3 linked regions of the Stegostoma tigrinum genome follow. The protein of the gene in region 1 interacts with the protein of each later gene in a pairwise test. Links are inferred from orthologs where the notes say so. Each region holds a gene or a part of one and is shown in the gene's direction. Other genes may lie near its edges. The genes, in order: gps2, ralbp1 and sestd1.

Region 1 (10,621 bases):
TGGTGTCTGGTCTCCCTACATAGCTTGGACTACAAAATCTTGGCCATGGCACTTTTGTCTCACTTCAGTACCATGCTGGATCACGTAATCCACCCATATCATACTTACCAGTCCCAGGCTGGAGCATTCACAAGAGCATCAACCCAACCGGGATGTGACCCTTCATTCCCAGAGGACTGGTCTTGAGTGCCCTTTCTCTCCCTTGATCAGGGATAGGCATTTGACAGAGTGGATCACAAGTGTCTACTTGGGCCTCTTTGAGCTTTTGGGTTTGGGACACACTTTGTCGCCCAGATTCAACTTCTGTACACTGCTCTGGAGTACCTAGGGAAGGTAACCAGGTCCCTCATGGGACCCGTGTACTTCCGGAGGGGAGCGCACCAGGGTCACCCTCCCTGTCTGGACAATTGCATTCTCCTTGTGTGGAGTCATTCGAGTGCCTCTTGCAGAGGTGGCTGTCGTCTCAGGTTCTGTGAAGGAGCTGGGGTGGTCCTTTCAGTTTAAGCCAACGACATGCTCCTCACGTTTGTGGAAGCGGCTGACTTACGGAAGAGGCACAAGTGCCAGATGGTCTACTCTGTGGCGTCCTCCATGAGGATCAAGTGGAGTAAGTGTTCAGGACTTCTGGTGAATCTGTGGCAGTTGGACTTCCTGCCGGAGCAGCTTCAGCGGTTCTTGTGGAGTATCACTCACCTCCTCTACCCGGAATGCCACGTTTGCCCTGCCGAGGAATCCTGGCCAGTGAGTTAGCACAAATAGCCAAGGTGATTACTCACCAAAGACACGAGACAGGGCTACTTGAAGAGTCATTTTACAGGGCACGAGGTCTGGTCATAAACCAGATGGGAGCTGCCACATTATGGTACTGGCTGCTCACTTTGGTCCCAACCCCTGGCTTTGTCAAACCATTCACAAAAGGGTCATAGCATTTTTCTGGGACAAAAAGCAACACTAGGTCCCTGCTGCAGTTCAGATGGGGGTCTGGCACTGGTGTGCCTCCACACCTGGGTAATGACTTTTTGCCTTCAGACTCTGCAGTGACACCTTTACATTGGCCCTCCAAGTTGTTGCGCCCTGATGATGTCATTTTTCTGTCAGGTGCACAGCCTCTATACTGACATGCAGTTCCTGTTCACAGAATAGTCTCGCTCTTGAATCTACTCCCAAGAATTGCCTGTCTTTTACTTGGACTTGTATCTGGAACATGGTCAGCTCATGTTGGATTGCCACTCCTATAAGAGTGGCAGCTATTGTGAGGGAGCCACTGCTCAGGAATGAGTTCCTCCATCAGCGTGAACTCTGCTGGCTGAAGTAGGGGAGGGCTTGGGATGCTGGGCTGACCAGGGTCAAGGCTGTGTTAGATGGAGGAGGAGTGGGCTGAGTGACACTGCTGCAGCTGGCCGAGAGGGTTCACAGCCTGACCCATACGTAGCCTGAGGCACAACGTGCTCAGCCCCGATGCCCTATGCAAGACCCAGACAGCTCAGGCGTGTGCGCAGCGGGCTCCCGGCTGAATTGACTCCTGTACGTTCGGAACCCGACATCAGTCCTGCACAAGCCACCCTTCCCCATGACGTGGTGCCTCACAATCTGAGCTGTCTTTCAGAAATCACTGCACAGAGGTATTTCCTGTACTGGCTGCTGTTGCACTCTCCACTTCTGCACCTTCATCTGTTGCTTCGAGACTATTTTGCCCTCCAGCTGCAGAGATCCCCAGCGGAGGGCCATTTACAAAGAGGTCCTTCCCCTTTCCTCTGGGGATCCGGGGTGGAGAGTGCTGCATGTGGCAGGCCGGTACACCATAGGATGTGAGTCCACTGGATGCCAGGTGACGCGTAATTTTTGTGCTTGACATCGGTGTAGAATGTTTCCGTTTGCAACTCCTTTTTGGTTTTTGAAGGGGTTGCTTCTTCAATTTTGCTTGCACTTCAGTCCCATGGTCCTGATCTACGGACACCTAGTGCAGGCTGACAAGTTGGTGGGCCTTCTGCTGGGTCTGGCCAAGATTTCCCCCATTCCTGATGGGGTGCCACGCTTTCACAATTATGTTTGAGCTGGGGAGTTGCTGAAGACAGAGCAGTGCTCACAGATACAGCAAAGTTCTTTGGAGACCATTGGGCACCACAAAGCCTGGGCAGCATTGAATCACAGGCTGACAGGGTGGTGAAGGCAGCATTTAGCATGCTTGCCTTCATTGGTCAGTGCATTGACTATAGGGGTTCGGATGTCATGTTGTGGCTGTACCAGACATTGGTAAGGCCACTTCTAGAATTTTGCACACAATTCTAGATGCACTTCTACTGGAAGGATGTTGTTAGACTTGAAAAGGTTCAGAAAAGATTTACAAGGACATTGCTGGGACTGGGAGGCTTGAGTCATAGGGACAGGTTGAGGGAGCTGGGGCATTTTTCACTGGAGTGAGGGCAGCTGAGGTGCAATCTTACAGGGGTTTATCAAATCATGAGGGGCATGAATTCGGTGAATAGTCAAACTTTTTCGAACGGGAGGGGAGTTCAAAATTAGAGGGGATAGGGTTTAAGGCAAGACAGGAAAGATTTACAAGGTACCCAAGGGGCAACTTTTTCACACAGAGTGTACTGTGTGTATGGAATGTGCGGCCAGAGGAAGTGGAGGAGACTGGAACAATTACAACATTTAAAAGGCATCTGATGGGTATATGAATGGGAAGAGCTGAGAGGGAGGTGGGCCAAATGCTGGCAAATGAGTAAGCCCTCCAGATTGGGGTCCCATAAGTCGAACGAAAGGATCTGTTTCCATGCTTTATGGCTCTATGGGTCTACAACATTATTTTGACATGGGTAATTTCTGTTTGGTTCTGTAAGTTTCCATTTGACTGTTAGTTTATGTTCAATTGCAATACGATGCACAGCAGTAAGCGTTTCATTATTATTATTTTGGACTTCCAGTTTTCATAAAAGAAATAGAACATAGAACAGTACAGCATTGTACAGGCCCTTCTGCTCCCCATGCTGTGCTGAACTTTTACCCTAAACCTAAGGTCTATCTAACTCCCACTGCTACCTTATACTATCATCCATGTGTCTATCTAATTGCCGCTTAAATGCTCCTAATGAGGCTGAGGCTGACTCCACTACCCTCTCCGGCAATGCATTCTATGGCCCAACCACTGTCTGAGTAAAGAACCTACCTCGGATGTCTCCCCTATATCTACCGCCATTCACTTTATAACTATGCTCCCCTCATAATAGCTACCTCCACCCGAGGAAAATGTTTCAGGCTGTCCACACTATCTATACCTCTCATCATTTTGTACACCTCTATCAAGTCACCTCTCATCCTTCGTTGTTCTAAAAACAGAAAGGCCCTAGCTCTCTCAACCTTTCCTCATAAGACCTTCCCTCCATTCCAGGCAACATCCTGGCAAATCTCCTCTGCACCTTTTCCAACGCTTCCACATCTTTCCTGTAATGAGGTGACCAGAAATGGACACAATATTCTAGACGTGGCCAAACCAGGTTTTTGTATAACTGGAGCATAACTTCACTGCTCTTGAACTCAATCCCTATTAATGAAAGCTAACACACCATATGCCTTCTTAACAACTCTATCCACTTGGGTGGCAGCTTTCATGGAACCGTGGACATGAACCCCACGATCCCTCTGCTCCTCCACGCTGCCAAGAATCTTTCCGTTAACCCTGTGTTCCATTTTCAAGTTTGTCCTTCCAAAATAAACCATTTCACACTTTTCAGGGCTAAACTCCATCTGCCACTTCTCAGCTCAGCTCTGCATCCTATCAATGTGCCTTTGTAACATAGTGCGGAGGGCTGTTCTATCTACAATTTGACCCACCTTCATGTCGTCTGCAAACTTACTAATTCACTCTTCCACTCCTACACCCAGTTCATTTACAAAAGTCAAAAACAGAAGGGGACCCAGAACAGATCCTTGTGGTACACCACTCATAACTGAAAATGAAGGAGTTTATTCTGCATTTAACCCTGTGCTGCCACAGTTCCAGAGTGTTTGATGGGGATGGCATCAGTGGACCATTACTTAAAGTTTACTTTTAGTTCAAAGAGTGGAGATGGCTTTACTCTGTACTTAACCCTCTGTTGTTCCTGCCCCGGGAGCGTTTGACACAGATGGAGGTGCCTTTCAGTTTTAAGTGTAGAGGAAGTGTTAGTTTCAGTTTTAAAACCGTAGAGGATGCTCTGATTTCAGTTTACCATAGAATCCCTACAGCATGGAAGCAGGCCATTTGGCCTGTCACACCAACAGCGGCCCTCTGAAGACCATCCCATCTAGACCCACCCTCCTGCCTTAACCCTGCATTTCCCATGTCTAATCCACCTAGCCTGCACGTCTCTGGACATTATGTCCAATTTAGCATGGCCAATCCACGTAATCTGCTCATTTTTGTGGGAGGAAACTCAAGCAGACATGGGGAGAATGTGCAAATTCTATACACAAGGTTGCCTGAAGGTGAAAGTGAACCCAGGTCCCTGGCACTGTGAAGACAGCAGTGCTAACCACTGAACCACTGTGATCTTTACTCTGCACCAAAACGCCTGCTTTATCTCTTCTTGTGGTGTTTTAAGCAGACGTTGTTGAGGGGGCTTTACTTTCAGTTTAAAAGTGTAGAAGTATATTCTGTATCTAGCCCTGTGCTGGGAATGTTTGATGTGGACAGTGTACAGACAGCCTCACTCATTATGTAACCCTGTGATGCCCCCATCCTAGACATGTTTGTTAGGGTCAATGTTGAGCAAGCTTTACTTTCTATTTATTTTCAGTCTGAAAGACTAGAGAAATCATGTGCTGTTCCTCCCCTGGGAGTGTTGGATTGGAAGAACATAGAGGCAACACTTTGTATCTAATCATACGTCACCCTTGTCTTGGGAGGGCTTAGTGGAGACACAGTCAAGTACCCTGTAACTAACCCTGTGCTGTACCTGTTCTGAGAGTATTTGATGGCTGACATCTGGTGCAAACCATCACATGGAGCACACAAGGGCCCTCGAAACCAGATGGTGCAGTCCCACTGACAAAGCTGTGGCACCAGGCCAGTGAACCAAAGCATCACCTTGGTTTCCTTCTCTACACTAGCACTGCCCAGTCTTTTGCGCCCTTCCGGGACCTTCTACCAATGTTCCATTCCCTGGCGCCTCTGCACCTGGCCCTTGCCAGGAGTTGGCACTGTCCATCACATTGGGCTGCCTTCACTTGGGGGCTGGGGGGGAACCCTCGAGATGGTGTCCAAGGGCATGCTGGGGAGGAACCTTTACAAAATGACCAGAGAGGGATTTTGAATTTTTAAAACTGGGGACGGCAGGGGGCTACTTGACAAGCCACGTCGAGCCGACAGACAAATACCAGCCCGGGGGGGGGGGGGGGAAGAGGGGGTGCTTAGGGTCCTCTCTGCTGCAAATTGGGACAAGCTCCAGCTTTTTTCTGCTGGACCAAGTTCCACTCATTACATTTAATCCTCTAGCGATATCCACGATGTTTTTTTTTGGGGGGGGTGTCGCAATTATGATTAAATATGATTTAAGAAAATAAAATCACAAAACCTGCTATAGCGATGTTAAAGCTGGGGGGGGGGGTGTGTTCCCCCTTTTTACCTGCTGAGATTCCCCTTCCCGTGCACCTTCTGGTGTAGGCCTCAATCACCGGTGTTTCTTACTGAGCTTACCCCTGGGTATGAGGGTGGGGGTGAGGGTGAGGGTGGGGGTGAGGGTGAGGGTGAGGGTGGGGGTGGGGGTGGGGGTGGGGGTGGGGGTGAGGGTGGGGGTGGGGGTGAGGGTGGGGGTGGGGGTGAGGGTGAGGGTGGGGGTGGGGGTGGGGGTGGGGGTGGGGGTGAGGGTGGGGGTGAGGGTGAGGGTGGGGGTGGGGGTGAGGGTGGGGGTGGAGTTACAAACATCTACATCTCCCCCTGGACTCACCTTCCTGTCGATCCGGACCTGGAAGAGCTGCCCGTCCCCCAGCGGCTCTCGGCTCATCGCCAGCCCGTGGTTGAACTCCTCGGTCGGCTTGTTACGCTTGGCCGTGCGGTTGCCGTTCAGCAACGCCACCAACTTGCCGGTCCTCAGGTGGAACTCGGCCGCCATTCCGAGAGCGGAGAGAGGGGCTTACCGCCCCCTCCTCAGCCCGCTCCTGCTCCACGACAGCCTTCTCAACCGGGTCCTAAAGGAGTAACAGGGCCGGGGAGACTAACCCGCTTGACGGCTGCGGGGCAGCTGTATCGAAATCCGCTTTACGACGGCAGCGCCGTTTGATTTGACCGCCCCTCCGCGCTGGAAACCGGCGGCTCCGCTTTACGATCCCGTCGCGCGCCAAGGCCGTCGCCCGCTTCTCAGCGTCCGTCTCGCTTTACGGCTGCGGGGCGGATCTGACGGTGGGCGGGCGGAGTGTGATGGCGTTGGTGGAGTGAAAAGAGAGAGAAGAGAGAGAGAAAAGGAGGAAAGCGGCCCGGGGCCTGGAAACAGGGAATGGTGAGGGGAAGAACAGGGTGAGGGTGATGGGGACCTGGAGCTGCGGGATGTGGGGGAGATCAAGGAAAAGACCCGTGGAGAGAGGAGAAGGGTAGGTGGGAGGGGTGTTTGTGGAAGTGGTTGGGTAGAACAGTGAGAGGGAAATGGAGAAGGGAGGACATACCGATGAGAGTGGAGGGAATGGGGCACAGTTCTTGAGAATCCGGGAAGAACAGGGAGATTTGGGGAGAGCACAGCACCCTATGTGTAGCCAGCGTGTTTTGAAAGAGAATGCAATCTGTGGGAAGCCTGGCCTCTTGTCCTCCTGGGGTCTAATCCAGTATGGCTCTGGCTGTGGCTCATTCTGGGTTTCAAGCGAAACAGAATGGTATTGACTGGTTGATCCGGAGTTATTTGTTTGTGGTACGTTCTGTGTAAAGTGTGGGCTTCACTAGCCGAGCCAGCATTTACTGGTCATCCCTATTTGCCGTGGTGGTGAGACGCCACCTTAAACTGCTGCAGTCCCTGAAGTATAGGGACAGTGCTGTTAAGGGAAAGTGGGAAGTGTGACCCAGTTGCTGTGAGGAAACAGCACTGTAGGTCCAAGTCAAGTGTTTCAGAGGGGAACTTTTAGGAGTTCTAGTTAGCTGTGCTACACCGGGTGGTCTTGGGAAACAGTGTGGTGACTGTAGGTTTTCCAGATTTACTCTTGCGATTCTGTACCTCACACAAAGCTGATTTATGGCTTTTTCTCACCTGTTTTAGGTTCTAGTGTCTGGATCCTTCTGAAACAGAGACGATGCCCGCCCTACTGGAACGACCCAAGATGTCGAGCGCGATGGCGCGAGCTCTTCACCAGCACATCATGAAGGAGAGAGCACGGAAACGACAAGGTAGAAGTGCTGGGAAGGAAGTGTGAGTGTGCTCACACAATGTCTGGCAGGTAGATCAGGGCGGGACAATCTGGCAAAATGCTCAACAGAAAAATCTGCATGTGTCATGCTGTCACTGGCTCCCTGGGATATGTGCTGTTGTTATATCAGAATGCTGTGTTGTTATTGTTATGATCTGGTAGATGCCTGAAAGGGCAGCTTAAGCAGATCCAACTGGGCTTTCCAGAAGGGGAGTGCACAAGAATTTTGCAGGCCTCTGGGACAAAAGTGCTCGAGACCGTTGGACAAAGGAACACAGGGGAAGCCATTTGGCTCATATCGACCTTTATGCCAATCTGGGAGATGACGACTAATTATTCAAAGACTCTTTCTCCATGTTTTTGTGTTTCTCCCCTGGCTGGGGAGCATTCTTCCTTCTCGAAGAATTTTATCCATTTTAATTAGATCTCTGCTCATTCTTCTAAACTCAAATATATTGGATCTGTCTGTTCAAATTATACACGTAGAATAATTTCAGTATCCAAGGGATCAGGTTGAGATCATCTGCAAAGAATGTGGGTGCAACTCACTCAATCATTCCTCGCAGGACCTTGCCCACAGCCTATTAATCAATCCAGGGAATCTTCAATCCTATGCTACCCATAAGTCAGTTAAGGCATAAACTGGATAACTCTCACTCTTTTCTGGTGCCCTCCCCCTCTGCCTTGCCGGTGCCCTCCCTCTGCCTGTTGACCTTGCCATTGTTCTGTCTGTTCCTCCTATCCACTCCCATTCTGCGTGTTGCTCCACCTGCTTTGCCAAGCTTCATAACTCTCTAGCTCCACCTATGTCCCCCACTAGTTGGTCTATCCATCCCTGAGAGATCTACCCAGCTAGTTTCATTCTCCAGAGCTCTCCATCTCCACCTCCACCACTCTTCCAGGCAGCTCATTCTAAATCCTAACAACACTGAATAAAGATTTTCTCCTCATCTCACTCCAAGCCACCTTGCTGACAATTTTGAAATTGTTGTTACTGACATACCAACCAGTGGAAACAGAATATGCTTCTTTATTCTGTCAAAATTATTCATAAATTTTAACACTTCAATAAGGTCATATCTTAATCTTCTCTGCTCCATGTAGCATAAGCCAGATTTCTCTAATCTTATCTTGTATCTAAAATTCCTAATTCCTGGTATCATTCTAGCAAATCTCCTTTGCACTCTTTCCAGACCTTTAATGTCCTTCCTTAAATAAAGTGCCAGGACTAAGCACAGTCCTCTTAATTTGGTCTGATCAATGATTTGTAGAGGTGTAGCATCAGTTCCTTCCTTTTCTATGCTATACTTCTTTTTATAAAGTCAAGACTCCTATAAGCCTTAGTAACAACTGCTCCAACTTGTCTGGCCATCTTCAGAGAATTATACATGTGAACCCCGAGGTCCCGCTGCTCCTGTATTCCCTTCAAAGTTGTACCTTTGAGCCCATACTGTCTCACCCTGTCTCCTCTGTCAAAGTGCACTATCTTGCATTACTCTGCATTGAAATTCAGGTATTGCATATTTGGAAAACTTGCCAATATCTCTGCGAAGCCGCTCAATGTCATCCTCTAATTCACTATTCTACCTCAGTTAGTATCATGTGCAAATTTAGAGATTTTTCCCTCAACACCTATCTCCAAATTGTTCTTTTAAATCAGAAAAGGCAAGGGTCCCAACACTGATGCCTGAGATACATCACTTTCAACTTGTCTCCAATCTGCAATATGCCCACTTTACCCTCTTGCTCCTACCTTTTAGCTAAATTCTAATCCATGCTGCAAGATTCCATCAATACCAAACATTTCTAATTTGCTAACCATCCTGGCATGTGGCACCATATCGAATACTTTCTAATGTCCAAATATACAACATCCACAGCACTGCCTTCATCTGCTGCCTGGATCACCTTGTTAAGGAACTCAATTAAATTTGTCAGACATGACCTGCTATTGGCAAAGTCATGTTGACTGTCAAATATGAACTTACTTTTCTTTAAGTGTAAAACAGTCCTAAAACAGTGGCCCCTAATCACAAGAGGAGACATCTTTTCCATGTTCTCTTTGTCAAAACCATTTAGTATCTTATATCTTTCAATCAAGTCACTCCTCACTCTGCTAAACTCCAGTGGAAGCAAGACTGGCCCATCTAACCAATCCTCGTAAAACAACTTGGTCCAGCTCTCAAGAGTAAATCTCCACTGAACAGTCTCCAATGCATTTAATCCTTCCTTAAATAAGGAGACCAAAACTGAATGTAGTATTTGAGATGTGGTCTCACCTATGCCCTGTTTAACAGAAGCATAACATTCAAACTTTTATATTGAATTTCCCTGGTAATAAAGCATAGCATTCCATTAGCTTTATCGGTTACATGTTGTACCTAGATACTAAAGTCTTGTGACTTCTGGACTAAAATACCAAGATATAGCTACCTATCCAGAGTTCTAAAGTTATTTTCTGTTGAGCAGCACGGCATGGTGGCTCGTTGACTAGTACTGCTGTCTTCACAGCAGCAGGGACCTGGGTTTGCTTCCACCCTTGGGTGACTGTCTGTACTGAGTTTGTGCATTCTACCCTTTTCAGTACGCGTTTCCTCTGGGTGTTCCGGTTTCCTCCCACAGTCCAAAGATGTGCAGGTTTAGTGTATTGACAATGCTAAATTTCCCACAGTGTCCACGGATGTGCTGAGTGGATTAGCCATGGGAAATGCAGGTCTGTAGGGATAGGAACGAGGGTCTGGGTGCTCTTGGAGGGTTGGTGTGGACCCGATGGGCTGAATGGTCTACTTCCACACTGTAGGGATTCTATGAATACTCTGCCTTTTGATTCTTTCAGTGTGTCAACCTTGATGGAAAGAGATCACTGGAAATTAAGTGCCTGTATTCCACAAGTTTTAGGATTACCAATTTAATCTCTAGGATGGTTAATATCTGATTGTGATCACTGTCTAAGAGAAAAGTAGCTCACACCAGGTTTTAGCAATGAATGAGAAACCAAAAACGTATTTATTATACTAAGCTTATTCTCTCATGTGTGACAAAAACAGATTATTAATTACTAATGTGCAAATTTAAGCTGAAGCCCTTGAAATCCAAACACACACATTGATAAACGGCAAGGACAATGCAAACAGTTTTTCGGGAATATTGTTGGGGGATAATAGGCAAAATCAAACAATGTCTGTGGATCAAGAGTCCAAATGCTGAAATAAGTGTCGTGACTTTTTCATTATTCTTTGATTTTTGGTGCTGT
Region 2 (9,961 bases), on another chromosome or scaffold:
TTATTTATTTCATATTTACAGCATCAAAATTGTTTTAAAATTCCAATCCTGTTCTCCCTTGCCATCTCCAGAAACAATGAAGTTGATTTCTGCAGTGGAAATCCTACATATCAATTGCATTTTCAGTGTGGTGGTCAGAAAGAACTTTCTTCCTGGAAAATGATGATGGACCTTGTCAGAACCTAGCCCCAGCTTTTCAGCAGGGCACACTGTGTGGTGGGATTGTCTTATGAGCAAAGGTTAAACAAGGTTGGGACTCATTGACATTTAGAAGAATGAGAGATTCTCATTGAGAAATGTCGGGTTCTTAAGGATCTAGACTGGGTAAATATTGAAAGGATGTTTCCTCTCATGGGAGTGCCTAGGTCCAGAGGGCATTGACTTAAGAATAACTTGACTTAAGAATGCGGTGCCAATTTAAGACTGAGATGAGGAGGAATTCCTTCTCTCAGAAGGTTGAGAGTCTTTGGAATTCCTTGCTACAGCAAGCTGTGGGGGCAGACTCCTTGTGTATAGTTAAAGCTGAGGCAGATAGATTCTTGATCAGTAGGAGAATCAAGGGTTAAAAGGGAAAGGCATGAAAATGAACGTGAGGAATGTTGGATCAGCCATGATCCTACTGAATGGAGGAGCAAGCTTGAGGGGCTGAGTGTTCTACTTCTTATGGTCTTATAGAGTTTTTACTGTTTCCTTTTGTATGTCATTTGCACTGAGGATAATTGGATCATTCCAGCTGAGATCAGCTGCTGGGTTGTGTGGTAAAAAATTGGTGCTTTTATTGACTAGATCTGGAGATGATAGTTTTTTAAAACAAAGGCTTCTTGTTCTATTTTGACACAAATACTTATTTCAATGGGCGCTCTGATTCTTCTGTGAAATTATCCAGTCCCTCAGTAATTTTTTGACAAAGCATATTTTCCTCATACTACCCTTCCTTGGCATTGGGTATGGTCATTGCAGTGGGAAGTAAGGAGGTGAATATTTTGATCTTTCCTTCCATGATACACTGCAGCAGAATGTGCAGTTTACTGTTTCCACATTGCAGTCCCTTTCCACACTGCTGATTCCTTCCATGAAATTTAAATCGTTTCCTACCCATTTTAAAGATTCCACTGCTGTGGGTGTAAATGTTTTCCCCAGTGACTTGCTAGCTGACGCCCAAGAAGAGATGAAACTCAGTTACAAATCAGGAAACCATTTCTTATCGAATTTCTTTTCATTTTCTTCATTCTCTCGATGACCAAACACTTTGTTCATGACTGTGAAAGGACATGAAATGTGTTGAAATTAGATGCAGTTTCTTCTTTCGCTTTGAAGCATTAAGATGGCCATGATTAGAGTCTTTCCTCTGATTATCTGAAGTGAATTTCATCATGATTTGGACAGATTACAGAGATGTAGCTGCAGGGAATTCTCTTTTTTTGTTTATTTATTTTGTGGGATGTGGGCATCGCTGACTGGCTAGCATTTCTTACCCATCCCTAGGTGCCCCTTAAGAAGGTGGTGGTGAGCTGTCTTCTTGAAACACTGCAGTCCACCTGCTGTTGGTTGATCACAATGCTATTAGGGAGGGAATTCCAGGATTTTGACCCAACAACGGTGAAGCAACGGCGATATATTTCCAAATCAAGGTGCTGAGTGGCTTGGAGGGGAACTTGGCAGTGTTCCAATATGTCTGCTGCCCTTGTCCTTCTAGATGGAAGTGGTCATGTGTTTGGAAAGTGCTGTCAAAGGATCTTTGATAAATGTGTAGTGTTTCTTGCAGATTGTACACACTGCTGCTACTGAGCATTGGTGGAGGAGGGAGTGAATGCTTGTGTTTCACATCCAAGTGGTCTGCTTTGTCCAGGATGCTGTCAAACTTCTTGAGTGTTCTGGAGCTGCACTCATCCAGGAAAGCGTGGAGTATTCCATCACAGTCCTGACTCGTGCCTTGTAGATGGTGGGCAGGCTTTGGGGAGTTAGGAGGTGAGTTACTCACTGCAGTATTCCTAGCCTCTGACCTGCTCTTGTAGCCACTGTATTTATGTGATGAGTCCAGCTGAGTTTCTGGGCAATGGTAATGCCCTGGATGTTGACAGTGGAGGTTTCAGTGATGGCAAAACCATTCAATGCCAAGGGGCGATGGTTAGATTGTCTCTTATTGGTAATTGTCATAGCCTGGCATTTTTGTGGCACAAATATTACTTGCCACTTGTCAGCCCAAACCTGGATCTGGTCCGGATCTTGTTGCATTTGAACATGGACCGCTTCAGTGTCTGAGGAGTTGCGAATGGTGCTGAACATTGTGCAATCATCGGTGAACATCCCCACATTGGACCTTACGCTGTAGGGAAGGCCATTGATGAAGCAGCTGAAGATGGTCTGGCCTAGGACACTACCCTGAGGAACTCCTGCAGAGATGTCCTGGAGCTGAGATGACTGACCCCCAACAACCATGACCATCTTCCTATGTGTAATGTATGACTCTAACTGTCCCCCGGTACTCACTGACTCCAGTTTTGCTAGGGCTCCTCGATGCCACACTCAGTCGAATGAAGCCTTGATGTCAACGGCTGACACTCCTATGTCACCTCTGGAAGTCCGCTCTTTTGCTCATGTTTGAACCAAAGCTGTAATGAGGTCAAAATGCGAGTGGTCCTGGTAGAATCCAAACTGGGCGTCACTGAGCAGGTTATTGCTGAGCAGGTGCTGCTTGATTGCACTGTTGATGACACATTCCATCACTTTACTGATGATTGACAATAGACTGCTGGGGCAGGAATTGACTGGGTTGGATTTGTCCTGCTTTACACGTACAAGACATACCTGGACAATTATTTACATTGCCGGGTAGATGCCAGTGTTGTAACTGTACTGGAACAGCTTGGCTAGGGGTGCAACAAGTTCTGAAGGACAAGTCTTCAGTACCATTGCTGGAATGTTGTAAGGGTCTGTAGTGTCTAGTATCCAGTGCCTCCAACTGTTTCTTGATATCATGTGGAGTGATTCCAATTGACTGAAGACTGGTATCTGTAATGCTGGGGATGACAGGACAAGGCTGAGAAAAATCATCTACTTAGCACATTTGACTAAAGACTACTCTGAAAGCTTCAGCTGTATCTTTGGCACTGATGGGATTGGCTCTTCCATCATTGAAGATGGGGATATTTGGAGAGCCTCCTCCTCTAGTGAGTTGTTTAATTGTCTACCACCATTCACGACTGGATGTAGCAGGACTGCAGAGCTTAGATCTGATCCATTAGTCGTGGGATCGCTTAGCTCTGTCTACCACATATTGTTTATGCTGTTTGGCATGCATGCAGTCCTGTTTGGTGGTTTCACCAGATTGACACATCATGTTCAGGTATGCCTGGTATGCCCTCCAGCACTCTTCATTGAACCAGGGTTGATCACCTTGCTTGATGGTAATGGTTATGTGGGGGATATGCTGGGCCATGAGGTTACAGATTGTTCTGGAGTAAAATTCTGCTGCTGTTGACGGCCCACAGTGCCTCTATTCTTGAGTTGCTAGATCTGTTTGAAGTCTGTCCCATTTAGCAGTGAAAGTTCCACACAACAGAGAGGTTACTCTCAATTTGAAGGCTGGACTTCATCTCCACAAGTGGTTACTCTTACCGATACTGTTATGGAAAAATGTATCTGAAGCTGGCAGATTGGTAAGGATGAGGTCAAGTGCATTTGTCCTTCTTGTTAGTTTTCTCACCACCTGCTGCAGAGCCAGTCTAGCAGCTATGTCCTTTAGGACCCAGCCAGCAGTGTTGCTGCTACTGAGTCAATCTTGGTGGTAGACATTGAAATCCCCCACCCAGAGTATATCTTGTGCCCTTGCCATCCTCTAAGTGTTGTTCAACATGAAGGAGTACCAATTCAATCAGCTGAGGGAGGACAGTAGGTGGTAATCAGTATGAGGTTTCCTTGCCTGTATTTAACTTGAAGCCATGTGACTTCATGGGATCTAGAGTAAAACTCCCTCCCAACTGTATACCACTGCGCTGGGTCTGTCCTGCCAGTAAGACACGACATATCCAGGGATGGTGATATCTGGTACATTATAAGGTATTATTCTGTGAGTATGACTATGTCAAGCTGTTACTTAACTAGTCTGTGAGACAACTCTACCAATTTTGGCACCAATCCCCAGATGTTAGTGAGGAGGACTTTGCAGGGTCGACATGGCTGTTTCTGCTGTTGTCTTTTCTGTAACCTAGGTCGATGCCAGGTGATCCATCTGGTTTCATTTCTTTGAGACTTTGGAGTGATTGGTACAACTGAATGGCTTACCAGGATATTTCAAAGGGTAACTGAAAGCCAACCACATTGCTGTGGGTCTGAAGTCATATGTAGGCCTGATCAGGTGAGGATGGCAGATTTCCTTCCCTGAAAGGAAAGGAAACGTTCACACCTAGTGAACCAGGTGTGCTTTTTTGACAGTTGACAATGATTTTTAATCAGTAGATTCTTAACTCCAGGTTTTTTTAAAAATTGAATTTAAATTCCACTCTCTGTCATGGTTTCAAAGTGGGTCCACAAAACATTATCCGGGTCTCTGGATTTATTATCTAGCAATAATACCACTAAGCCATCACCTTCGCTTGGATAGGAACTGAACGAGGTGCAACACACAAACTGCTTGCCCTTCCTCTCCTTTTCCCTTCCTCTCCCCTCCCTCTGATGAAGGGTCTAGGCCCGAAACATCAGCTTTCCTGCTCCTCTGATGCTGCTTGGCCTGCTGTGTTCATCCAGCTCCACACCTTGTTCTCTCTAAAACTGCTTGCTTGGACGTTTTGATACATCGAAATGATAACTGTGGGAGGCTGAACACCTCTCTCCCACGCGTTCTGAGGAAAGGTCACCGGACCCGAAACGTTAACTCTGATTTTCTCCTCAAGATGCTGTTAGACCTGCTGAGCTTTTCCAGCAAATTCTGGTTTTTTTTCGTCCCAGGATCCAGTCGAGAAAGGTCACGTGACCGAAGGCTGCAAGACGCTTCGATCTCTGCGCCTGCGCAGCGACGCCCGAGCCGGAGTCCGCACACTGACGCCTGCGCACAGTGGCCCAGCCGGAGCCCGCACGATGACGCCTGCGCAGCGACGCCCGAGCCGGAGCTCGCACGCTGGCGCCTGCGCACAGTGGCCCAGCCGGAGCCCGCACACTGACGCCTGCGCAGCGACGCCCGAGCCGGAGCTCGCACGCTGGCGCTTGCGCAGCGACGCCCGAGCCGGAACTCGCACGCTGGCGCCTGCGCAGCGACGCCGAGCCCTGTGGGCCCCTCCTCTCCCGTCCAGCAGCTGCAGGGCCGCGGCCGGTGGCGGCTTGGTATGTCGCCAAGGATCAGAGCTGCGATTCCTGGATCGGGGCTGCTCTAAGATGAGGTAAAGGTGCAGGATTTATCCTTCATGGAGGCCGGTATTTTTTTCAAATATTGAAGTCCAGAGGTGATGTGAACGGAAGGAGCGAAGACCGTAGATTAGGCCTCGCTGGCATCACCGGCCTTGATTTGGAAAGAAGGCCGTGGCCGGGAGGGAGCAGAAGACCTTGTTGATATAGGATGACTTACCCCGCGGCGATCTTACCCGTACTCCCTTCCCCCAACCCTAGGAGAGGGGCATCCCGATCCCATACAGTTCCCCGGAGCGCTAGCGATACTACTCTGTGGTCCGGGGCGCATTTGTTCCCCTCCCTAGCACCGTGTTATTAATTTCCAGATTAAAACCCCTTCCTATAGAGTCCTCCACCTTATAGCACTCACTATGGCTATCAGCTGCAATCTGGATCCTTTTCTTTACATTTGATGTAACCTTTCCTCCTTCTATCTTCCACCCTAGATACTAAACCAGACTGTTTTAAAGTGGACGGGGGAGAGAAGAGTTTAAATGCACGGTTTTTTTTAACAAATAACCGAACAGAATCCTTGCTATTTACTTCATTTGCACACTGCTGCCGGCTGTTTCACTCGTCTATTTACTTCATAAGTAAAAAGCCAGTTACTCGAAACAGTGTTTTGCAGTTGTGTGTGATGCATGGGGCTGATTTGGGATTCTTGTGATCTGTTTTTCACGCTGCAAATGTAGCTGAAAAATATCTCGTCTTTCCACAGCAGTAAAGAATGAATGACTGACTTGGGGAGGAATGCATTGTTGGTAGAAAAAGAGCCTATTTGACAGTTTCACCGAATATGTAGTGAATTTACTGAAATGTCGCTTCTGACTATTACTGCTGCAGTTCGGTATTGTCAAGTTGGAGTTTGGGGTTAGGATCTTGCAGTCTGTTGAGAGAGTGCCTTGAAATTTATCGTGTTTGGGATCTGAGATGGTATTAGTGCAGTTACTGTTTTGTTGTGTCTCATTAATTGCTAAAAATGAAATGAGTGGCTAAAACAATGGCAGAGTGAGCTCAATCCTAACTAGTTTCACTTAAGATGAGCCTCGACCAGTCTCTGAATGATTTTTGAATTATGTTTTGCTAATGTCCTCAGCACTTCAGGATTTGTTACTTTTTCTATTCAACTAATCTTTTCCAATCACCTTGATTTTTAATGATATATGAAATATGCTTTAGACAAAAATTGTTCTTGTGTGTGATGTTATGATGTGTGTATCAGGCACTATTTTGGAATCTGCTGTGCTAAAGCACTTTAATATTATCACAAGCTGCTACCAGTTGGTTCCTCTGAAGAGTTTGATTCACTTGAATGTTAAGTCTGCTTTGTCACATCGATACTGTCAGACCTGCTGAGTTTCAGTTTTTGTACCATAGATTCCTAACCTGACTGATTTCTGAAACAAACAGAAAATGTCAGAGAAACTCAGCAGGTCTGACAGCATTTGTTGAGAGAGAAACAGAGCTACCATTTTGAACTGGTATGCCATCCGTTATGGCTAATTTTTGATCTTGATTGGTAGAGTGAGCTACATCCCTTTACTCTCTGGTCTGCCCTTTCTAAAACCACCACCTCATTTCTATGCTTCCCCACTGTTAGGTCTTCCAAAACCAAGCCAATTTATAAGAGTACACAGTGATACTCAGCCATGTAAACCTCTCTCCATTGTCTGTAAATTGTCATTGCTTATCTAAGATCCAATATTGGATGAGCAGGAATATTTTTCAATTACTTGGCGAGAAGATTTAAGTCCAGGAGACGGATGTACTTGTGGCCCTAACTGTTCACAATATGTATCATTGATCTGGAGATGTGGACCAAATGTGATATTTCTAAATTTTCAGAGGATACAAAGTTACGTGGGAATATATGTTATGAGGAAGATGTAAAACAGCTTCAGGAGGACTTGCACAGTGAATGGTCAAGAACATGGCAAATGAAAGATAATGTGGAAAAATATGAAGTTATCCAGTTTGGTAGGGAAACCAGCTGTGCAGAATTTAAAAGGTAAGTATTTGGAAAGTGTGGATGTAGAAAGGCTCACCAGATTTGTTCCCAGGATTGTGGAACTGTCCTGTGAAGGGAAATTGAGAAACAGCCTGTATTCTCTAATTTCAAAAAGGGAGATTTGAAATTTGAAATTTGTAACATAGCTAAAGGGATAAACAGTGTCAGTGCACTAAGATGTTTCCCTGGCTGGAGAATCCAGAGTCAGATGGCAGAATTTAAAAAAAAAAGGGGATGCCACTTAGATCCAAGATGAAATTTTTTTAAACTCAATGTTGTTGAATTACAGCAGTACATACTGTTGCCATTGTGTGTCAGTGATGAAAGGATTGAGTATTGAAGATGTTGAATCTGGTGCCATTTGAACAGAATGCTGTCTGAGAATCAAGGATTCTAACTCTTGCTTTCAAATCTATCCATAGCTTGGTCTGTCTTCCTATCTAATCCTATCTAATCTTTCTGTCCTAAAACCTAACTGTACTTTGTTTTAATTAAATCACTTGAACATTGGTGGCTGGGCTTCATCTCCCTAGATTTTAAGTTCTGGAATTCCCATTCCAAACTTGTTTGGCTCTCTACCTTATTTTCTTTTTAAACCTGTGTGTTTGACCAAGCCTTTGGCTATTTGCCTTAATAGCTCCCTGCATGGCTTAAGTGTCACAGTTTGTTTTAGAATGTCTATTGGATGCATGTTGAGATGTTTTATTCAGTGAAAGATGCTATGTAAATTCACTTTAACAAAAAGTTCCTGGAATGGGGCATTTTTGGATAGGTCAGCATTTATTGCCTAGGAACTGACTGGCTTGCTGGACCAATTTAGAGGGTAGTTAAGAGTCAATCATATTGCTGTGGGTCTCGAGTCATACGTTGGTTAGATTAGGAACAAAAACAGAAGTTGCTGGAAAAGCTCAGCAGGCCTGGCAGCATCTGTGAAGAAAAAGTCAGAGTTAACATTTGAGTGTTTTCTTCATAAATGCTGCTGAGCTTTTCCAGCAACTGCTGTTTTTGTTCCTGATTTACAGCATCCGCAGTTCTCTTGGATTTATTTTTTGGTTAGCACAGGAGAATTTATTCCCTAAAGAGCATTATTGGATCAGATAGGCTTTTACAACGGTCACCATTGGCTACGTGATTGCAGTTAGGCTAACTTTTTTTAATTCCCAGAGTTTGGCTGAACTCTCATTTCACTATCCTCCATTATATAGAACATAGAACAGTACAGCACAGAACAGGCCCTTCAGCCCACGATGTTGTGCCGACCATTGATCCTCATGTATGCACCCTCAAATTTCTGTGACCATATGCATGTCCAGCAGTCTCTTAAATGACCCCAATGACCTTGCTTCCACAACTGCTGCTGGCAACGCATTCCATGCTCTCACAACTCTCTGTAAAGAACCCGCCTCTGACATCCCCTCTATACTTTCCTCCATCCAGCTTAAAACTATGACCCCTCGTGTTAGCCATTTCTGCCCTGGGAAATAGTCTCTGGCTATCAACTCTATCTATGCCTCTCATTATCTTGTATACCTCAATTAGGTCCCCTCTCCTCCTCCTTTTCTCCAATGAAAAGAGACCGAGCTCAGTCAACCTCTCTTCATAAGATAAGCCCTCCAGTCCAGGCAGCATCCTGGTAAACCTCCTCTGAACCCTCTCCAAAGCATCCACATCTTTCCTATAATAGGGCGACCAGAACTGGACGCAGTATTCCAAGTGCGGTCTAACCAAAGTTTTATAGAGCTGCAACAAGATCTCACGACTCTTAAACTCAATGCCCCTGTTAATGAAAGCCAAAACACCATATGCTTTCTTAACAACCCTGTCCACTTGGGTGGCCATTTTAAGGGATCTATGTATCTGCACACCAAGATCCCTCTGTTCCTCCACACTGCCAAGAATCCTATCCTTAATCCTGTACTCAGCTTTCAAATTCGACCTTCCAAAATGCATCACCTCACATTTATCCAGGTTGAACTCCATCTGCCACCTCTCAGCCCATCTCTGCATCCCGTCAATGTCCCACTGCAGCCTACAACAGCCCCATTTGTGGGATTTAAACCGATCTGTCCAGCACTTTAGGGCCTGGGGTTGTGAAATCCTAGTCCAGTGACATTACCGCTATTCCATTACCTCCCCTTGTTGGGCTCTCTTTCCTTCATTGCTGGTTGGTCTTTTTTAAAAAGAATTTGCAAAGGGCAGTTTCTATTTGCATCTCAAGAGTAAAGAGACAGTGACCTGCCCATGCTGAAATACAGCACAGTCTTTAAGTAATCAACCTTGCATCAACCTGGAGCTAGGAATTGAACTTCAGTTACATTGTAGTTATTTGAAGGCCAACTTCCACTGGAGATAAATTTTGTCTCTTGTTTTATGAATGGTCATTTTTATACTGCGGTCAGGATTGCTGAATACATTGGATTATAATCTAAAATAATCTGAGTTGTCGTCAAATGAAGCCTGACATGGACTGTAAGTTTTCATGGCTCAATAAACTGGCACATTGAATAGTGGGATGTCATGTAGGCTGGTATTGGCACTATAGACCCAGTAGTTTTTGTCCAACTTGGTCAG
Region 3 (10,374 bases), on another chromosome or scaffold:
AGCCACAATGGATTGTTTATTGAAGATGTAACCAAGATGATAGATGAGGGTAGAATGGTAGACGTTGTCTACGTGGACTTTAGCAAGGCCTTTAACAAGGTTCTGCATGGCAGCCTGGTTAGTAAAGTTAGATCACATTGGATGCAGGGAGAGCTAGCCAATTGAATAGACTGTAGGAGGCAGAGGATGGTGGTGGTGGGGTGTTTTTTGGAGGCCTGTAACCAGTGGTGTTCTGCAGTCATTGGTGCTAGGTCCACTGTTTGTCCTTCACATAAACGATTTGGATGAGAATATAGCAAGCATGTTTAGTAAGTTTGCAGATGACACCAAAATTGGTGGTATAATGGACAGTGAAGATGATTTTCCAAGAGTACAGTGGGATCTTGATCAGTTGGCTAATGAGCCGAGGAGTGGCAGGTGGAGTTTAATTGAGATAAATGTGAGGTGTTGCATTTTGGTAAGACAAAACAGGGCAGGGTGAACACATTTAATGGTGGCTCTGGTTAGTATTTTGAACAGAAAGACCCAGGGTTCAGGTGCATAGTTCTTTGAAAGTGATATTACAGGTAAACAAGGTTTACCTTGCTTTAAAAGACATCGGGACAGGTGCATGACCAGGCCAAGCTCAAAGGGATATGGGCCAAACATAGGCAAATGGGACTAGTTTAGTTTGGGAAAACTGGTTGGCATGGACAAGTTGGACTGAAGGGTCTGTTTTTGAGGTCCATGACTCTATTTCTTTCGTGAAAATTACATTTAACTAACTTTATGGAATTGTTTAAGGACGTAAGAGCATGTATTAATGCAGGTAATGTTGTTGATGCAGTTGTACATGGTCTTCCAAATAATGTTCAAACTGTTGTGCAACATTGTTCTGAGAAAGATTATAGCTCATGGAAAAGAAATAACAGTTTCAATGTGGATGCAAAATTCCTTGTGTGACAGGAAATAGAAAGTAGTAGCTGATGAATATTTTTCAGGTTGGATGATGTTTTGGGCTGGATGATGTTTTGGGTCTCTTGCTTTATTATGATCAACACCAAGGCTATTTCCTAACTCTTCCGAATTTCCCTTTCTCTAGGTGAAATTATTTCTTACATCCAATTTCAACTGAGCCTTCTGTGAATTAAACGAAAAAAATTGCAAGCCATGAATGCTTTCCAAATGCAAACAAAAAATTAATTCTGTATCTTCTAACTTAAAGCTGGCTAATGCTTATCATGTTTGTTCTGTGTGCTCATAAAGCTCCCTGTGTCAACAAGTTCCTATTAGCACTGCAGGAACCATCTCTCAAGTTGGTTTTAAAAAGTGTTCCAGAAATACTGACCAGTTAATCATTATCCCCCCTCAAATGCACAGACATCAGCCCACATTCCATTAGGTTAAACTCCAAACTCTAAGATAAATGACATCAAAATAGATAAAAATCACAAACTTTGTATCACACTTATTTATATGAATAATCAAGATCTTGGAGCACAGGAGACAATTTCAAAGTTTGCAGGTGATACGCAAATTAAAGTTGGAAGGTTTGCAACCTGTGAGGAGGATCATGAACATAACATGAACATACAAGTAATGAGCAGGAATAGGCCATTCAGTCCCTCAACTCTCCACTACAATTTCTAGGTCCTGGTTCTAAATACCACCATAAAAGGAAACATCTTCTTCACATCCAACCCATCAAATCCCCTCAAGATCTTATATGTTTCACTCAAGTTGCTTCTTGCTTTTCTAAACACCAGTGAATATAAGCCTAGTCAGTTTAACATGTCCTCATAATGCAGCCTGTCCCATTCAAGGCATTATCCAGAAAACCTATTATCCGCTTCCAAAAAATTTACATCCTTCATTAATAAGGTGACCAATACTGGGAACTGTACTTCAAAACTTTAAAACAACATTGAAATATTCATAATAATACAGTGTGGAGCTGGAGGAACACAGCAGGCCAGGCAGCAAGAGAGGAGCAGAAAAGCTGATGTTTCAGGTCGGGACCCCACTTCAGAAATAGGGGAGATGAAGGAGCTCTGAAATAAATAGAGAGGAGGGGCATTGATAGCAGGTAGGTAGTTGGGGGGATTGGTCAGTGAGGTAGGAAGAGTGGATAGGTGGGAGAGAAGATGTACAGGTCAATGAGGCAGGGATGGGGGCATGGCTGGTCTTGGGATGAGGTCAGGGTTGGGGAGATTTTGAAGCGAGTAAAGTTCACATTGAGACCATTGGGTTGTAGGCTTCCTGTTTGCGGGTGGCATCATGGTGACACTGGAGGAGGCCCAGGATGGACATGTCGTCAAGGGAGTGGTAGGGGTAGTTGAAGTGGTTTGCGACTGGGAGGTGTTGTTGTTTGTCACGAATCAAGAGTAGGTGGTCTAGAAAACGGTATCCGAACCTCCACTTGGTCTCACCAATGTAGAGGAGGCCACATCAGGAACAGCGGATATAATAGACCACATTAGAAGATGTGCAGATGAACATCTCTTTTACGTGGAAGGTTTTCTTGGGGCCTGGGACGGAGTTGAGGGGCACGTGTAGGGGCAGGTGTAGCACCTCCTGTGGTTGCAGGGAAAATGTGTCTGGGGTGTTGGGCCTAATGGGAGGTGTGGAGTGGACGAGGAAGTCGTGGAGAAGGCGGTCCCTCCAGAAGGAAGATAAGGGTGGGGAGGGAAATATATCCTCAGTAATGGGATCAGATTGCAGGTGGCCGATATGGTGGAAAATGATGACTGTTGAATCCAGAAGTTGATGGGATGATATGTGAGGACAAGGGGAATTCTGTCTTTGTTGTTATTGTGGGGGCGGGGGTGTGAGGGCTGGGGTGCGGGAAACGCAAGAGATGTGGTCGAGGGCATTTCCAACCACTATGGGGGGGGGATGTTGAGGTCCTTGAAATACGAGGACATCTGGGATGTTCGGAAGTGGAATGGCTCATCTTGGGAGCAGATTCGGCAGAGGTGAAGGAATTAGGAATAGGAGATGGCATTCTTGCAGGAAGGTCGGTGAGATGAGGTGTAGCCTAGGTAGTTGTGGGAATCAGTGTCCTTGAAACAGATATCAGTTTCGAGGTCAATTGTATCTGCTGTTCCTGATGTGGCCTTGTCTACATCAGTGAGACCAAGCAGAGGCTCAGATATCGTTTTATAGAGCACCTACACTTGGCTCATGACAAATGACAACACCTCCCAGTCGTGAACCCCTTCAACTCCCCCTCCCACACCCTGGACGACATGTCCATCCTGGGCCTCCTCCAGTGTCACAACAATGACACCCGTAAACTGGAAGCCTACAACACAATGGTCTCAATGTGGCGTTACTAGCTTCAAAATCTCCCCAGCCCCCTCATCCCCACCCCCTTGAACTGTCTGTCTTCTCTCCACCTATCCACTCCTCCCACCTCACTGACCAATCCCCACCACTATCACCCTGCTATCACCAATCCTCCTCTCTATTTATTTCAGAGCCTGCTTCGCCTCCCCTATTTCTGAATAAGTGTCCCTACCACAAACATCAGCTTTCCTGCTCCTCTGATGCTGTGCGCTCTGTTGTGTTCCTGCAGCTCCACACTCTGTTAACATCTGCAGTTCTTACTGTCTTTCATTGAAATATTCATAGAGTGGGCAGATAGGTTGCAGATGAAGTTTGATGTGAAGATGTACGAGGTGAGATATTTTGGGAGAACAAACACAGATACTGTATAAACTAAAAGGGACTACCCTAGATGGTGGGCAGAGAGACTCCAGTGTATGAGTGCATAAGAATTAAAGGTGGCAGAGCAGGTGGTCAGAATAGCTAATAAAGCACACAGTATCTTTGGCTTTACTAACAGTGGTTTCCTGTACAACAGCACATGGGTTACACTAAATCTGTGTATGATACCAGTTAGATGTCTGCTGAAGTATTGTTCCAGTTCTGGAAGCCACATTTTAGGAAGATCTGGAAGCATTGGTGACAGATCTCAAGTGGTTTGCAAGAAGTGGTTCCAGGGAGAGAAACTTCAATTATGAAAATAGAAGTTGGGACTGTTTTTCTTGGAGAGGAGAAGGCAGAAAAGAGATTTGTTTCAAGTTTTCAAAATCACGATAAGTTTGGACAGAGTAGAAGCAGATAAGCTATACCCAGTGGTGAAAGAATAAAGAATGAGAAAGCGCAAATGTTAGGAAATTCGATGTGAAAAGTTTCTTCTCAAACAGCAACTGTCCGTGTGGGGTTTGCACGTTCTCCCAGTGTCTGCGTGGTATTCCTCCCACAATCCGAAAATGAACAGATTAGGTGGGTTAGCTGTGGTTAATGCCGGGTTACGGGGATGGGGTGGAGGGAAGGTGGGTCTTGGATGGGACACTCTTGGGAGGTTCGTTGTGCACTCGTTGGCCGAATGGCCTGCTTCCGTACGGTAGGGATTCTTTGTGCTACCTAAGTGTACCCGGAAGACAGGTTCCATTGAGGCATTGAGGAGGTCATGAGATGAATATTTAAATAAAATGATGTGAAAGGGTACAGTCAAAGGACAGGATAATGGCATTTAGTCATGCTCCTCATTTGGAGAGCTATTGCAGACACTATGGGAAGACTTCTGCACGGTTATTCTGCAATTCTTGAAACATCCGAGGGAAACAACTTGCAGGATTGTGGGGATAGAGCAGGAGAATGGGACTGACTATTGTTTTTCAGAGGCGACATTGACCACCGTGTTTCTAATGGGCTCTTCCTTTGTTTTAATGACTCAATGACTTGGACAAAATATTGCAGGGCAGCTTGGAAATTATACTTCAGTATATTTAGAGTAGAAAAAGGTGAAACATTTCTCCTTTATTGATATTAAACAGTTTTCTACGAAATATTCCTAAAAAATCAAACATTTTCAACAGTGAATTGACAAACTGTAATAAAATTTCGTCTATATTGCTATTTTTTCTAGAATAAAACACTTTGAGAGAGATCTTATATCATGTTCACTGAGCATTTACACTATGATCGATGATATGCACCGCAAAAATGATGAATGGTTAGTTGATCCCTTGGTCAGTAACGCGGTTTAAAAGCTGATTTCTAAAAGCTCTCTAAAATTTATCGGGCAATATCAGCTCTAGTACCTTGGGCTGACAACCATATTTTAAAGGAGAAGAAAGAATTTTGATAAAATATCGCAAAGCCGTGAAAACTGAATGTATTTGATATACTTCTGCTCAATCTCAGATTTAAATCTCCATGTTGTTGTGACATTTCGATGAGGTTAATTTCCAGTTGTTCATTGATCTCATTAGAAGGTGCTGCACTGCTTTTTTTGGCGGGGGGGAGGGTTGGAAGGAGTGCTGGTGGTGTGGGGATGTTGAGCTTTGTAGTGCAAGTGGGATCTCCGTTTGTGCGTGCACGATTTATTTCGTAGCAGACGTGAATATGTGAGACGCGCTGGTGGGAGCTGTGAGGCATCTCTGCTTGACATGCCTCGTACGGCGAGGGTGCCGCTACCGTTCTGTGTGAGCCGCCGCTGCTGCTGAGATCGGTCTCTCCTTGGGAAGAGGAAGTCGGCGGCTGGGAGGGAAGGAAGGAGCAGTGGGCAGCTCGCGTCCTCAGGTGAGCGGGGGCTCGTGCTGCCTCACCTGTGCGCGTGGCTGAGGCTGAGTGGGGGTGCAGGGCGGGCTGTCTCCCTGGGCAACAAAAGGAGTTATGTCTGCCCCGGGCAGCTGAATCTGTGTGAACGGTTCATCCTGGACGACCATCGGTACTGGAGCTGGAAACCTCGTCTTTCTTTCTTTCTGTGTGTGTGAGAGAGACCAAAAATCACGATTGCGGCGGCTTACTGGGCTGAAGGCTTTGAGCGGACTGGGGGGAAAGGTAGGCCCGAGGTGGGGTGGACCGAGCTTTGTTCAGTGGCAGCGCCCACTACCAGGTCGCTGTTCCTTCCCAATCTGATTTATTTTATTAGAAATAACTTATCGGGTTTTTTTTTGGTTTGTTATTTTCTTTGTTTTTTATCTTTAAAAAATAACTTGCAATCTGCGTTTCCCACTGCACTTTTTTTTTGGTTCCAAAGCGCTGCCCCGTAGAGTGTGTACCGTTCGTTGCACTCCAGCCATTTTCAAAAAAAAGACGGGCTGAGTACTTCCTGTGGGTTGGGAAAGAAGCGCAAATAATTAACGGTATATGCTACTCTTGAAGCACTCCTGCTGCAGCCCTCCGCTTAAAGATGAAAGCAGCGGTAGAAAGTAGATCATTTCGCAAGATGGGCTGATGTGGTTTGAAAGCTTTTTGTTGTCAGCTGGATGCCTGATGTGTAAACCCTCCACGACGCTTGAAGGACTAATCCGAGTAATCTACATAGGTGATCTCCATCGTGGAACGTGAGTGTTGTGGTTCTGCCAAAAAAGGGGCTTCCTAGGATGAAACAGGTCACCGTTGTCAAAATTCAAAGATATGCAGTTTGCAAATACTTACTAGGATGGTGATGAGATTCAACCCACTGAAGGTACACTGGTTATCATCATGGAATGTAATGTTTTGCACTGCTTAGTCAGCTACATGTTGGAGTAGTAGTTTACAGGGTTGTTTGGAACTGTGAGAACACAATCCTGTGCTGATCCCACTCCTGCCCCACTCAAGCCTTATTCTTTCATTGTTCCAGTCAATTACCTGATTTATCTGCTTAGTTACAAATGGTACACGAGATGCTTTAGTCACACAGACTTGGGCGTTGTCTTAGTTCATTCGGTCAGATTACTGGTCTGAGTCAGAAAGCTACAGGTTCAGGATTTACTCTATGGAATTTTGCAAATAATTTAATCTTGCATTTAAATATAGTGGAAAGGTATGTTAATAGGGGATCTTCAGGCTGTTGCATTAATTGAGGCATTTGCCAGTTTTATACAGAAGGTGGTGATGGAGGGTTGTTTTTCCATCTGGAGGCCTGTGACAGCAGTGTTCCCCATTACTGGGTCTAGTTTTGTTTGTCATTTATATAAACGGTCTGAATTCAAATTTAGGGAGCATGATTAGTAAGTTGTGATGACACCAAAACTGGTATAGTTGACAGTAAAGAAGATTATCAAAGACTACAAAGGGATCTTGATTGACCCAATGAGCTGAGCAGTGGCAGATGGAGATTAATTTGGATGAATGCAAGGTATGGCATTTTGATTAAATAAACAAGGGCAGGACTTCTGCAATTAATGGTAGGGCCCTAGGTCATATTCTAGAACAGAGACCTAGGGGTTCAGGTATATAGTTCTTTGAAAGCTGCATCAGGGGTAAATACAGTTAAGGTACAGTAGTTAAGGTACTCTGCAAGGTTACCTTCATTGCTTAGATCATAGGAGTTGCGATGTCATGTTGATGTTATAAAGGACTTTGAGGCCAGTTTTGGAGTAGTGTTTACAGGTCTGATTGTCCTGCTTATAGAAAGAATGTTATTAAATTGAACATAGTTCAGAAAAATTTACCAGGTTGTTTTCAGGATTGGAGAGTTTGAGTTACAAGAAGAGGCCGGATAGGCTAGGACTTTTTTCACTAGCATGTCATAGGTTAAGCAGTGACTTTGTAGATGTTTATAAAATCATGATAAGGTGAATAGCAAAGGCCTTTTCCCTAAGGTGGGGCATTCAAAACTAGGAAGCAAATTTTAAGGTGAGAGCAGTATGATTTAAAACGGACCTGAGGGGCAACTTTTTCCACATGGAGAGTGGTTTGTTGGTGGAATGAACTACCAGAGGAAGTGTTACAGTTCCTGTATTTAAAAGACATTTAGATAGATACATCACTAGGAAGGGTTTACAGGGATATGAGTCAAATGCAGGCAAGTGGGACTAGTTTACGTTCGGGAATCATGGTCAGCGTGGGCTTGTTAGACCAAAGGGTCTGTTGCCATGCTGTTTGACTCTATGATGTACTAGAGCGTTTGATACAATTTGAGGAGCAGGGACTTGTTGGCAATATTTCTTCTGTAAAGGCTAAAAGTCTATGTGGTTAGCCCATGTGAGATGTAGCTCAGTGATTAATTTTCTCATTTCTGAATCCAATTTAAGTGAGTTCAAATTCCACTTAAGATGCATGTAACCTAGGCTGACATTTCTGTGCAGTATAGGGGAAATGTTGATCTGCCAGTTAAGAAATTTAAAGGACTTAGATGGTCCAACAATTGAGATATAGGATCTCATTACTTATTTCATTGCAGCATTGTGGGAGCCTGCATGTGTAAATTAGCTGCTGTTTACCACGTTGAAATAGCAACTGTTTAATTTGGTATAAAATACTTTTGGACATTGAGGTTGAGGGTGTAATGTAAACATCAGTCATTTCCCTATTCTCTCTTGTTCCTGGGTAATCTTTGTTTTGGGACAGTCTCTCCTGAAATTCAGTTATTCTTTCAAATTGAAAATTTTGTTTTTTTTCAAGTTTCATTTTCTTTTGAGCTTAGCAGCAACAAACAAGTCGTAATAAAGTCTGAGTATAATGCAATTAACTGACACATAGGTCACAGGAATAATGTTTTGAAACAAAAACAAGCTTTATCGCTTATAAGAATTAAATCAAGTGCTAGTAGCATAATGCTGTAGTTTATGATAGCGCTATGAATTTTACTTTTATTTTACTATACCTGCTAAACAATTCCTTTCCTATTACAAGAATCTTGAAGGTTGAACCACATTTTGAGGGGCCAGCTTAAAGGTGTGACAGTGGACTCTGGAATTCACTACATATTCATTTAGGCTCACTGCTGATTGCTTTATGCCACATGGCTCTTTGAGAACCATTGTAGAAGTTTTCCTCAAGCTGCAAGCTAGTTAGATCATCCATCGTTTCCTTCAAAAATACAAACAGTTTAAGTTCTACCCACATTCTACTTGTTGAGCAATAAAGATCATACTTATCCTGCATAAAGCCTGATGTAGGTTACACCGAAGCAAAACGTCAACAGCCAATCTTTCGAGTAAACACCCAGATTAAATTAAGCAAAAGACTGTTTGACCCAATAGCCTAAGCCTATTTCTATGTGGCATTCATTGGGTAGTCATTAAATTGACATGTAAAAATTACCTTCAACACAGTTCATTTGATTCTGTTAAAAAGTGCAGAGAGGTTTTAGAATCTCCACACCTATCCAGGAGCTCCCCTGTTGATCATCTTTCCCAACTTTTCATTTTGGTAACTGCTTAATTTAAAACTTTTGAGGTAAGTGGAGACCTTCAGGTCTACCTGAAACCCAGTGTTTGGTGTTAGTATTAGAAATGCGGATCCATTTGAGGGTCAACCAGAACAACTTGAGTTGATTGAGAGTAGATGATGCACATTGAACTTCATAGCTCCATGTGCATCCCCCTGAAGCTCAGAATTCTATCAGAGGATGGCCCCTAGAGGACCACCAACAGTCTAGGATATATGACATAGCTGCACTGTCCTGCTCGACTGGATTTAAGACAATTTGATAAACAAGGATGATGTTGGGATGACCATCTCCAAGATTTAAGATGCATCCAAGTCGGGCATTGCTTGTGACAATCTCCTGTAATTTTTGGAAAAATAAAAAGCAGGGTTCCTGAAATAGGTGATTATTTGTGGTGACTTAATTTTTTGAAGAACGAGCTAAGTTCAACAATTTTTATTTATATAAAAATTAAGGGTGGGTTCTTCCCTACGTACGAGTTGGGTTCAGGGCAGGTAAAGGAATTGTCTTTGTGCTAAACTATAGATTTACAATAAAATCGCTTACTAACTTCTTTAATTTCAATATCTTGGGATATTGATCTGTTAAATAGTTGATCCTTCTTTATTCAACTGTCCCTACTGTTAATTCTAACCTATTGTATAATTTATAAACTACATTTTGAACATACAATCTAAGCAAGGCTAGGTTTGTTATTAATCAGTTTCTCAGCCAGGTGCTTCTATTTATTGCTAGTTCAAGCTTTAATTCCAAAAATTAGAAGTTCTATTATTTGTGGGAAATTATAGTCATAGAGATGTACAGCACGGAAGCACACTCTTCGGTCCAACTCGTCCATGCCAACCAGATATCCTAGATAAATATAGTCATTTGGCCTGGTGTCTTTTAGTGAAGGAGTACACGCTGTGTCAGCCATACCCTCTAAGCAGTTAGCCCATATCCTTCTTAAACCCTTCCTAATCATATACCCATCCAGAGGCCTTTTAAATGTTGTAACTGTACCAGCCTATCCTTACCCTGGAGAAAAGACCTTGTCTATTTACCCTATCTATGCCCCTCATAATTTTGTAAACCTCTATAAGGTCGTCCCTCAGCCTTTGATGCTCCAGGGAAAATACCCCCAGCCTATTCAGTCTCTTGCTTTAGCTCAAACCCTGTAATCTTGGCAACATCCTTGTAAATCTTTTCTGAATCCTTTCAAGTTTCACAATATCCTCCCT

Evidence for each region.
Region 2: the proteins of gps2 (region 1) and ralbp1 interact in binary tests that used the Homo sapiens proteins (3 or more experiments, as listed by UniProt). The two-hybrid records come from large-scale screens. The link is inferred for Stegostoma tigrinum from reciprocal best matches to the Homo sapiens genes GPS2 and RALBP1.
Region 3: the proteins of gps2 (region 1) and sestd1 interact in binary tests that used the Homo sapiens proteins (3 or more experiments, as listed by UniProt). The two-hybrid records come from large-scale screens. The link is inferred for Stegostoma tigrinum from reciprocal best matches to the Homo sapiens genes GPS2 and SESTD1.

The regions. Positions count from the first base shown.
Region 1 is NC_081398.1:13,795,360-13,805,980, reverse strand, and holds the start of gps2 (G protein pathway suppressor 2), read left to right. Parts: upstream 1-6,343; 5' UTR 6,344-6,476; exon of another isoform or gene 6,477-6,493; intron 6,494-7,220; 5' UTR 7,221-7,254; coding exon 7,255-7,348; intron 7,349-10,621. Other genes in the region: neurl4 (neuralized-like protein 4), read right to left, coding at 5,928-6,092. UniProt on the Homo sapiens protein: Key regulator of inflammation, lipid metabolism and mitochondrion homeostasis that acts by inhibiting the activity of the ubiquitin-conjugating enzyme UBE2N/Ubc13, thereby inhibiting 'Lys-63'-linked ubiquitination.
Region 2 is NC_081358.1:114,693,530-114,703,490, forward strand, and holds the start of ralbp1 (ralA-binding protein 1), read left to right. Parts: upstream 1-5,259; 5' UTR 5,260-5,375; intron 5,376-9,961. UniProt on the Homo sapiens protein: Multifunctional protein that functions as a downstream effector of RALA and RALB. As a GTPase-activating protein/GAP can inactivate CDC42 and RAC1 by stimulating their GTPase activity.
Region 3 is NC_081360.1:43,778,566-43,788,939, forward strand, and holds the start of sestd1 (SEC14 domain and spectrin repeat-containing protein 1), read left to right. Parts: upstream 1-5,484; 5' UTR 5,485-5,571; intron 5,572-5,598; exon of another isoform or gene 5,599-5,719; intron 5,720-5,746; exon of another isoform or gene 5,747-5,832; intron 5,833-6,319; 5' UTR 6,320-6,338; exon of another isoform or gene 6,339-6,463; intron 6,464-10,374. UniProt on the Homo sapiens protein: May act as the primary docking protein directing membrane turnover and assembly of the transient receptor potential channels TRPC4 and TRPC5.